2 linked regions of the Drosophila melanogaster genome follow. The protein of the gene in region 1 interacts with the protein of each later gene in a pairwise test. Each region holds a gene or a part of one and is shown in the gene's direction. Other genes may lie near its edges. The genes, in order: CG3999 and Ubc84D.

Evidence for each region.
Region 2: the proteins of CG3999 (region 1) and Ubc84D interact in a two-hybrid assay, tested with the Drosophila melanogaster proteins (one large-scale study listed by BioGRID).

What each region holds. Positions count from the first base shown.
Region 1 is NT_033777.3:10,249,341-10,255,772, forward strand, and holds CG3999 (uncharacterized protein), read left to right. Parts: upstream 1-2,177; 5' UTR 2,178-2,239; coding exon 2,240-2,416; intron 2,417-2,548; coding exon 2,549-2,627; intron 2,628-2,830; coding exon 2,831-3,357; intron 3,358-3,457; coding exon 3,458-4,191; intron 4,192-4,249; coding exon 4,250-5,579; intron 5,580-5,640; coding exon 5,641-5,751; 3' UTR 5,752-5,928; downstream 5,929-6,432. Other genes in the region: CG42795 (uncharacterized protein), read left to right, coding at 1-631.
Region 2 is NT_033777.3:7,518,002-7,521,030, reverse strand, and holds Ubc84D (ubiquitin conjugating enzyme 84D), read left to right. Parts: upstream 1-1,574; 5' UTR 1,575-1,672; coding exon 1,673-2,134; 3' UTR 2,135-2,211; downstream 2,212-3,029. Other genes in the region: alpha-Est7 (alpha-Esterase-7), read left to right, coding at 1-519, 582-751, 807-1,280. UniProt on the Drosophila melanogaster protein: Catalyzes the covalent attachment of ubiquitin to other proteins.

The sequences.
Region 1 (6,432 bases):
CCACACCACCGTCACCTCAACCTTCTACGATCGGTTCCTCACTGAGAAGCAGATCGAGCGGCAGACCCACTCCCGTCCGCCCAGTCGTTCGCCAGTGGTTTCACCCTCGGTGCCAGCCAAAAGCTATGTCGAATTGTGCAGCACCTCAGGCACATCCAGCACCACCGCTACCAGCACCTCCACCTCCTCATTCATGTCCAGCAGCTATGCAGGCCCCTCCTTTTCGCTGCCCTCGGCCAGCAACTTTTCCTATTTGAATCCGGGTTCGGGCTCGGGTTCGGGCATCTCGTCAATTTCGCCGCGCGCCAGTTGCTCGGATCTTCGTTCCACCACCAGCGGCCCTACATCCACCAGTACCACCTCCGTAACCACCTCTTCATATGTACCCTACAATTTCACCAGCTCTTTCACATCTCGCTTAAACGATCCCATTATCACTTCCACTACCAGTGCAGTTAGCACTAGTTCCCTTACCCATTCCACGGGGGTCTACAATCCCATGATGTCGTTCACACTGAGGGAACCACTAGCCAGCAGTTCCCTGGGTGGTTCAAGTGCCTCTCCATTGCTACCGTTTCAGTTTAACAGAACTTTCACTTCCAACTTCGACAAGGAACAGAACAAACAATAGAAGGATGCACATCAAACATTAACCAAAGGTTGTCCATACACATTACAAAGCTCCCATTGAAGATTCAAAACATTGAAAAGAAATCAAGCTCAAAGCACTGAGAGAAAAATCTGTCTAAAACAATTTAATTATTCTACTCCTATTCGAATTTTTTCATTTTTGTGGTTCTGAAAATATTAAATAATCAACAATTATCTTAAAGTTAACAGGTTGCCACTTTCCCAACTGTTCTTATACCATGTTTGCTGATTTTAGTTAGGTTTTTATCTCAGTCAGCCTAACTTTCGCTAAGCAATATAAATATAGTAAATATAATTAACAGTTTTAGGCAAATAAATACCTAAACACATATATATCTACAAATATATACAAACCTTGCAAATCGGATATTTATTCTTCAAGCAACTCTTGCACCAAACCATTTTGGCTTCTTGCAACTTACCTCATCTACATTGACAGCACCAGCAACTCAACTAATCATAACTTAGCAAAGATTTTTATACAATATATATCTACGTATATACAAAGAATATAGCTATCGAAACCGTAACCGAATGCGACGAGGAGGGCAAGGCAAGATGTTAATATCCAACTTTTTTTCAGCGTTAACAAAAGTTTAGCCTCTAATTCCTTGAACAACTTTAACTTTAGAACACTCAATTAACCTTAAACTTTTCCTTAAAATGAACTAATCAATTAACATGGTTTACACTAGCCAACAAAAACCCAAGAAAACAATATACAAACACACACACACACTTTGAAACGGTGTAAAACTTTAAGTGCATTTTTGGGCCGAGTTAGTCGAGGATGCTAAACATAATGATTATTCATAACTGACTGACACAAGCCGTAAAATTAGTTTAACAACATTGTTAAATACACACGCAGCCATATATGATGTACCTATACCAATTGAACGATATATATTGTATTTAATTAAATACCAATTGCAGTTGTTGAATTTCAATTATGCAAAAGACACAATAACGACTATGAATAAGCAAGAGAAAGCAAGCCCGAATGCAAATGGTTATAGAAAAAATTATCAATCTCGGCTGAGGAGCCGAAAGTTAATCAAAACGATTAGGAAAATTTTATGACAAGTATTTCGATTCGAAAACGGCAAGATACCAGGATACTACCAAATGCAATTGTTACGTAGACAAAATGACGATAACGGCTTCAGTTTATATAACCATAAATTAAATATTAATTAATGTTCTCTTCAATTTTGTTACCCAATTTTGTTGTGATGCTTTTCCTGTTATTAAGACACGTTTGTACGCCATTTATGTTATTGTTTAAAATCAAACACAATCTAATTAATTGGTAATACAAAAAAAAAAGTAGTAAGAATATTTTTATTACAAATTGTTGAAGAGTTTTAAGTTTTGAAATAAAAAGAAAATATTTAAAATCGCACTTGACTTTGTATTTGGGAGGGTTAAACATTTCTATCAATCGGAGAGAACAACTGATAAGCCGAGATGATCGTCACACTCGCCTTATCATCTGAAATGGAAAAATCTTTCCAGCCAGAGATCAGTCATCTATTGAAAACCGCGTGGAGTGGACGTGCCTTAGTTTATTGGATTAAACCTTACCATGCAGCGATTTTTGGGAAGGAGCAGCCAAAGCCTTTTGCTAAGATGTGGTCATCGCTATCTGGCCACCACTCCTGTGGAGGAGGTCATATTTCCCACCAAATCGGATTTTCCCAGTCGTCATATTGGGCCTCGAAAGACGGATGTGGTGGCCATGTTGGATACTTTGGGCTTCAAGGTAGGAAGGTCACCAAAAAGCTTAGTTTAGATCATATTTCATAGCAGAGCGGTTGAACAAACCATTTTGGAATCCGAAATTTCCAGATTTGGATCAAGCCAAGTTTAATTTTTACCACCATTATCATTTTAGTCCCTGGCGGAGCTCACAGAGAAAGCTGTGCCCCAGAGCATTCAACTGAAGAGGGAACTCGACCTGGACAAACCTCTGAGTAAGTAGCGCTACGTTTGAATCCTAAAATAGCTGAAAAACAAGGCAGTAAGGCAATGGACCCCCTGGCGTGTTCGCAGCCGCTGATAACCGGGGTGATAAGCCCGGTTCAGCGAGGTCTCTCCCAGTTATCAGTGTTTTGACTGCCGCTTGATCTTCGATTTTTCGTCTGCGTCTGGCTGACAACAATTTTCCATTCTGCAGATGAGCACGAGCTAATCCGCCGAATTCGCGACATCTCGCTAAAGAATCAACTGTGGCGCTCCTACATCGGAATGGGTTACCACAACTGCCATGTGCCGCACACCATTATCCGGAATATGTTCGAGAATCCGGGTTGGACCACTCAGTACACCCCGTACCAGCCGGAAATCGCCCAGGGACGCTTGGAGTCGCTGCTGAACTATCAGACCCTGGTAACCGATCTCACCGGCTTGGATGTGGCCAATGCCTCGCTATTGGACGAGGGAACCGCTGCTGCCGAGGCCATGTGCCTGGCCACCAGGCACAACAAGCGCAAAAAGCTCTACCTGTCGAACAGGGTGCATCCCCAGACGCTGTCCGTAGTCAAGACGCGAACGGAAGCCTTGGAGCTGGAAATCGTGGTGGGACCTATTGAACAGGCGGATCTGCCAAGCCGCGAATTGGCTGGCATTCTTCTCCAGTATCCAGATACTTATGGTGATGTCAAGGACTTCGAGGATATCGCAGCTTTGGCAAAGAAAAATGGGGTAAGTTGAAATATTTATTTATACATAAGAATATACAACAAAAAAATCAGAAAACTTGAACTTGAACTTGACTATAGCGTTCTCTTCTGTTTTTATTAAGACCCTCGTGGTGGTGGCGACCGATTTGTTGTCGTTAACCCTTCTGCGTCCTCCGGCGGAATTTGGAGCTGATATTGCAGTGGGAACCTCCCAGCGATTGGGAGTTCCTCTGGGATACGGTGGCCCCCATGCCGGATTTTTTGCCTGCAAGCAGAGCTTGGTGCGGCTAATGCCGGGAAGGATGATTGGCGTGACCAGGGATATGGACGGAAACGATGCCTATCGTCTGGCCCTGCAAACCAGGGAGCAGCATATCCGGCGGGATAAGGCAACAAGTAACATTTGCACGGCACAGGCTCTTCTGGCCAACATGTCGGCCATGTACGCCATCTACCACGGTCCGGAGGGTCTGAAAGCCATGGCCAATCGCATCCACCATTTCACGTTGACCCTTCAAACGGGTGTCCTGGGAGCGGGTCACGAAGTGATCAACAAGAACTTCTTCGACACACTTCACATTAGACTGGGTGGAGGTCAATCCCTTGAGGATCTCAAAGAGCGTGCCGAGCACAAGCGCATTAATCTCCGATATCTTGAAGATGACACTGTTGGCGTGGCCCTTGATGAAACGGTCAGTGTAGCCGATGTGGACGATCTGTTGTGGGTCTTCAAGGCAGAGGCATCTGTGGAACACATTCTGGCGCGTAAAGATGTCCTTAAGAACTCGATTGAGAACTCCAAGTTCCTGCGCACTTCGCCCTATCTGCAGCACCCTATTTTCCAGAGCTATCACAGGTAAATGATTAATAAACTCTAGAAATCATTCAACTTTAATGCGCTTCCTTCGCCACAGCGAGTCCCGCATGGTGCGCTACATGAAAAAGCTGGAGAATAAGGACATCTCCCTGGTGCACTCCATGATCCCCCTGGGATCCTGCACTATGAAGCTGAACTCCACCACCGAGATGATGCCTTGTTCCTTCCGCCACTTCACCGATATCCATCCTTTTGCGCCGGTGGAACAAGCCCAGGGATTCCATCAGATGTTCAAGGAACTGGAGCATGACCTATGCGAGATTACAGGATACGATCGTATCTCCTTCCAGCCGAACTCGGGGGCCCAAGGAGAATATGCCGGACTGAGAGCCATCAGGAGCTACCATGAACACCGAAATGAAGGACACAGAAATATTTGTCTGATTCCAATTTCTGCCCACGGCACAAATCCAGCTTCTGCACAAATGGCGGGTATGAAGGTGGAGCCTATTAGAATTTTGTCGAATGGTTCCATCGACATGGCACACCTAAGAGCTAAGGCAGAGGAGCACGCCCACGAGTTGTCCTGCCTAATGATTACCTATCCATCGACAATGGGCGTGTTCGAGGAAACGGTTGCCGATATTTGCACCCTGATCCACAAGCATGGCGGACAGGTGTACCTGGATGGAGCCAACATGAATGCCCAGGTTGGGCTGTGTCGACCTGGAGATTATGGCAGCGATGTTTCGCATCTCAACCTGCACAAGACCTTCTGCATTCCGCATGGTGGTGGTGGTCCTGGAATGGGTCCCATCGGCGTGAAAGCCCATTTGGCACCATACCTTCCTGGTCATCCTGTTGTCAGTCCGTTGAGCAGCGAGGAGCACAGTTTTGGAGTCGTATCCGCCGCTCCCTTCGGAAGCTCTGCCATTTTGCCCATATCCTGGTCGTACATTAAACTCATGGGCAGCAGGGGTTTGAAGAGAGCTACCCAGGTGGCCATTCTCAATGCAAACTACATGTCCAAGAGGCTGGAGCAGCATTACAAGACTCTCTACAAGGCACCCAACTCTCAGCTGGTTGCGCATGAGTTCATTTTGGATATACGCGACCTGAAGAAATCGGCCAATATCGAGGCAGTGGATGTGGCCAAGCGACTCATGGATTACGGCTTCCATGCACCAACTATGTCTTGGCCCGTCGCTGGAACCCTGATGATCGAGCCCACTGAATCGGAGGATAAGGAGGAGTTGGATAGGTTCTGTGATGCCATGATTTCCATTCGAGAGGAGATTGCCGAGATCGAGGCGGGTCGCATGGACAAGGCAGTCAATCCACTGAAGATGTCTCCTCACACCCAAGCTCAGGTGATCTCGGATAAGTGGGATCGACCATATACACGGGAGCAGGCTGCCTTCCCCGCCGTAAGTCCATTGCATTATTGAATAATTATTCTATTTAACTGTATTTCAATTTTTATTACAGATCTTTGTAAAACCAGATGCCAAGATCTGGCCCACTGTGGGCAGGATCGATGATGCCTATGGTGACAAGCACCTTGTGTGTACCTGTCCGCCAATACTGCCTGATTTATAAGGCACTTCAGTTCTAAGACCAAACAATCAATTTATATTACACTACTTTTTAAATAAACCCCTTGAACGTATCTTTTATATAAGAAGGTTCTTTATTTTTCGTTGATAAATTAATTATCTAAAAAAATCATATATGGTACATTTAGCAATCAATAAAGCTTCACATTTATTTAAAACTAATTAAAATTAACTTATAAAATACCTCAAAGTAATGAAGTAATTGCGTGCTAAATGCATTGTGTTTCTAACGAGCTTTTTAGATATTAGTAACTTTAAACATTTGACTTACGTGTACTTTGTTTTCTTAGCTTTAGATTCAATTTTTGAGTCTTTTACATACTTTTTGTTGTTGGGGAGCCCCAGGATGGGTGCCATCCATTAAAATCTCCCGTAATTAGAGAGGGTGTTTGTTGTATGTTAAATGTGTTATGGAGTGTCTGGTTAGTTATGTTTTTGGTCGGAGAAATGTATGTGGAAAATATGTTTAATTTAAGTTTAGATTCTATATTTATGGCTATTGCTTCTATATCGATTGTTATGTTGAGGACAGTGTGTTGTATTGACTTATGCACTAGTAGTGCTACGCCCCCAAATCTGTTGGTGGCAATATTTGTTAATAGTTTGTAGTTTATTGGGGTTGGAATGTTATTAGTGTATTGTATATGGGTTTCTTGGAGGGAAA
Region 2 (3,029 bases), 2.7 Mb from region 1:
CTGGCCTCAAGGATCAGGTGCTGGCCCTCAAGTGGATCAAGAACAATTGCGCTAGTTTCGGCGGAGATCCCAACTGCATCACTGTTTTTGGAGAGAGTGCTGGAGGCGCCTCCACTCACTACATGATGCTAACCGATCAGACCCAAGGGCTCTTTCATCGCGGCATCTTGCAGTCGGGCAGTGCCATTTGTCCTTGGGCCTACAACGGCGACATTACCCATAATCCCTACAGGATAGCCAAGCTGGTTGGCTACAAGGGCGAGGACAACGACAAGGATGTGCTGGAGTTCTTGCAGAACGTAAAGGCCAAGGATCTTATTCGCGTGGAGGAAAATGTCCTGACACTGGAGGAACGCATGAACAAGATAATGTTTGCCTTTGGCCCATCCCTGGAACCATTCTCCACGCCCGAATGTGTGATATCCAAGCCTCCAAAGGAGATGATGAAGACCGCCTGGAGTAACTCCATCCCCATGTTTATAGGAAACACTTCGTACGAGGGCCTGCTGTGGGTTCCAGGTTAGATATTGGGAATTTTTTTGAATTTTCTTTCAATAAGTAAATTTAATTTTATTTCACAGAGGTAAAGCTTATGCCGCAGGTGCTGCAGCAGCTTGATGCTGGCACACCTTTCATTCCCAAAGAATTGCTGGCCACGGAGCCCAGTAAAGAAAAACTGGATTCGTGGAGTGCACAGATTCGAGATGTTCATCGCACTGGCTCAGAAAGCACCCCAGATAATTACATGGATGTAAGTGTCGTCCAATTAGGTGCTTACATAATCATAAGCTGGTAATTTATTTCAGCTCTGTTCGATTTACTACTTCGTGTTTCCGGCCCTGAGGGTGGTCCATTCCCGACACGCGTACGCGGCTGGAGCTCCAGTATATTTCTATCGATATGACTTCGACTCCGAGGAGCTCATTTTTCCGTACCGCATTATGCGGTTGGGACGCGGTGTCAAGGGGGTCAGCCATGCCGACGATTTGAGCTACCAATTCAGCAGCCTGCTGGCTCGCCGGTTGCCGAAGGAAAGTCGCGAGTACAGGAACATCGAACGAACCGTGGGCATCTGGACCCAGTTTGCTGCCACGGGTAATCCCTACAGCGAGAAGATCAACGGTATGGACACTCTGACCATTGATCCAGTTCGCAAATCCGACGAGGTCATCAAGTGCCTCAACATCAGTGATGACCTGAAGTTCATCGATCTGCCTGAGTGGCCCAAATTGAAGGTCTGGGAGAGCCTCTATGACGACAACAAAGATTTATTGTTTTAAATTTAACTTACTGTTCTGTACAGCCTAACAAAGAAGTCTCTAGAAACTGTAAATAGGTCAAAATGCTTTATAAAATATATTCTGCAATTGGATTGTTTTGCTTTATAACTAGTTTGCCCAATGATTGCATGTGGATGAGAAATCCTAGTTTAGGTGAGATTTAAAAATATATATTTCTATTTATCTCTATATTTACCTCAGTTTACGCCATTTATTTAAATGCTTGATAACTTCTTAATAAGTTTGAATATAAAAACAATGTTCGACATGCCCTTTTGACTTTACTGTCAATAGCAATAGGAAAATTAAATTTTTAGACTTTTTTAAATTAACAAGTTTTTTTCCGAGATCTAGGGAAAACAAAGGAAAGGAACTCTGATCCCGTTGATAGAATGGCTGCCACTCGTCGTCTGACACGGGAACTCTCCGATCTGGTTGAGGCCAAGATGAGCACTCTGCGCAACATCGAGAGTAGCGATGAGTCCCTGCTGATGTGGACGGGTCTTTTGGTTCCGGAAAAGGCGCCCTACAACAAGGGCGCCTTCCGCATCGAAATCAACTTCCCGCCCCAGTATCCCTTTATGCCACCAAAGATCCTATTCAAGACGAAAATCTATCACCCCAACGTGGATGAGAAGGGGGAGGTGTGCCTGCCCATCATCAGCACAGACAACTGGAAGCCCACAACGCGCACAGAGCAGGTGCTCCAGGCCCTGGTAGCCATCGTCCACAACCCGGAGCCAGAACATCCGCTTCGTTCTGACCTGGCCGAGGAGTTCGTAAGGGAGCACAAGAAGTTCATGAAGACGGCCGAAGAGTTCACCAAGAAGAATGCGGAGAAGCGACCAGAGTGAAGTCAGCCGCAGCTCACATTTATTTGTATATCAAAATTATATATAGTTTGGACCATCAATTAAAACTTGTCAGACATAAGTTGTCCATATTTTGAATGTTCGCTAAGATATATGTATGGCGCATTAAATGGACGGTAATTCGATAAAAAAAATGGGCAAGAAAAAAAGTACAGTTAAAAAGAAATTCAAAATATTTTTCAAAATTGAGGTAAAAAAATTGTGGCCGTTGGTAAGCGTGGAATACATGTTGTTGGTTTATTGCTACAATCGTAGCCAACTCTTGGCTACTTGGCGGTGATTGTGGCCGGTGTCTAGCAATCTACTAAAGAAAACTTGTGCTTCAGCGCCTGTAGAATCTGCATGCTTGATTTCCCATTTCTAGCCATTATAGTTCCCGAGTTCACTCGGATATTGATCCTATATATGTACACATATAATTGATACCTATTACTTGATATACCCCTTTGTCTACGAGTAACGAATTTAATCAAATTACATTAATGTATCATTAACAGTAACAACAGGCAACCGCATTTGGCAATATCGTATTGGTAATTATAGCAATCATATTTACCTAATACAGTTACACATATACGCATAAGCTATCAAATATTGACCACATTCATCACTTTGGACGTCAGGTAGTCCACGTAGTGACGAAGCGTACCAGTAGCGTCTGCGAAGGATAATAACATACTTTCATATATACACGATAATAAAAGTCTGCTGCCGATTATAGCGAGTACCAATAGATATATACCAATAGAACACAAAAACTAAAGGAATTGTAAAACAAGCCTTTGAAAAGCCTAGAATACGATTCTGGGCTAGTGTTGACGTACGAAATATATTACAAAATTCTATCTGTAAACACGGTTTTAATAAAATCCATGTA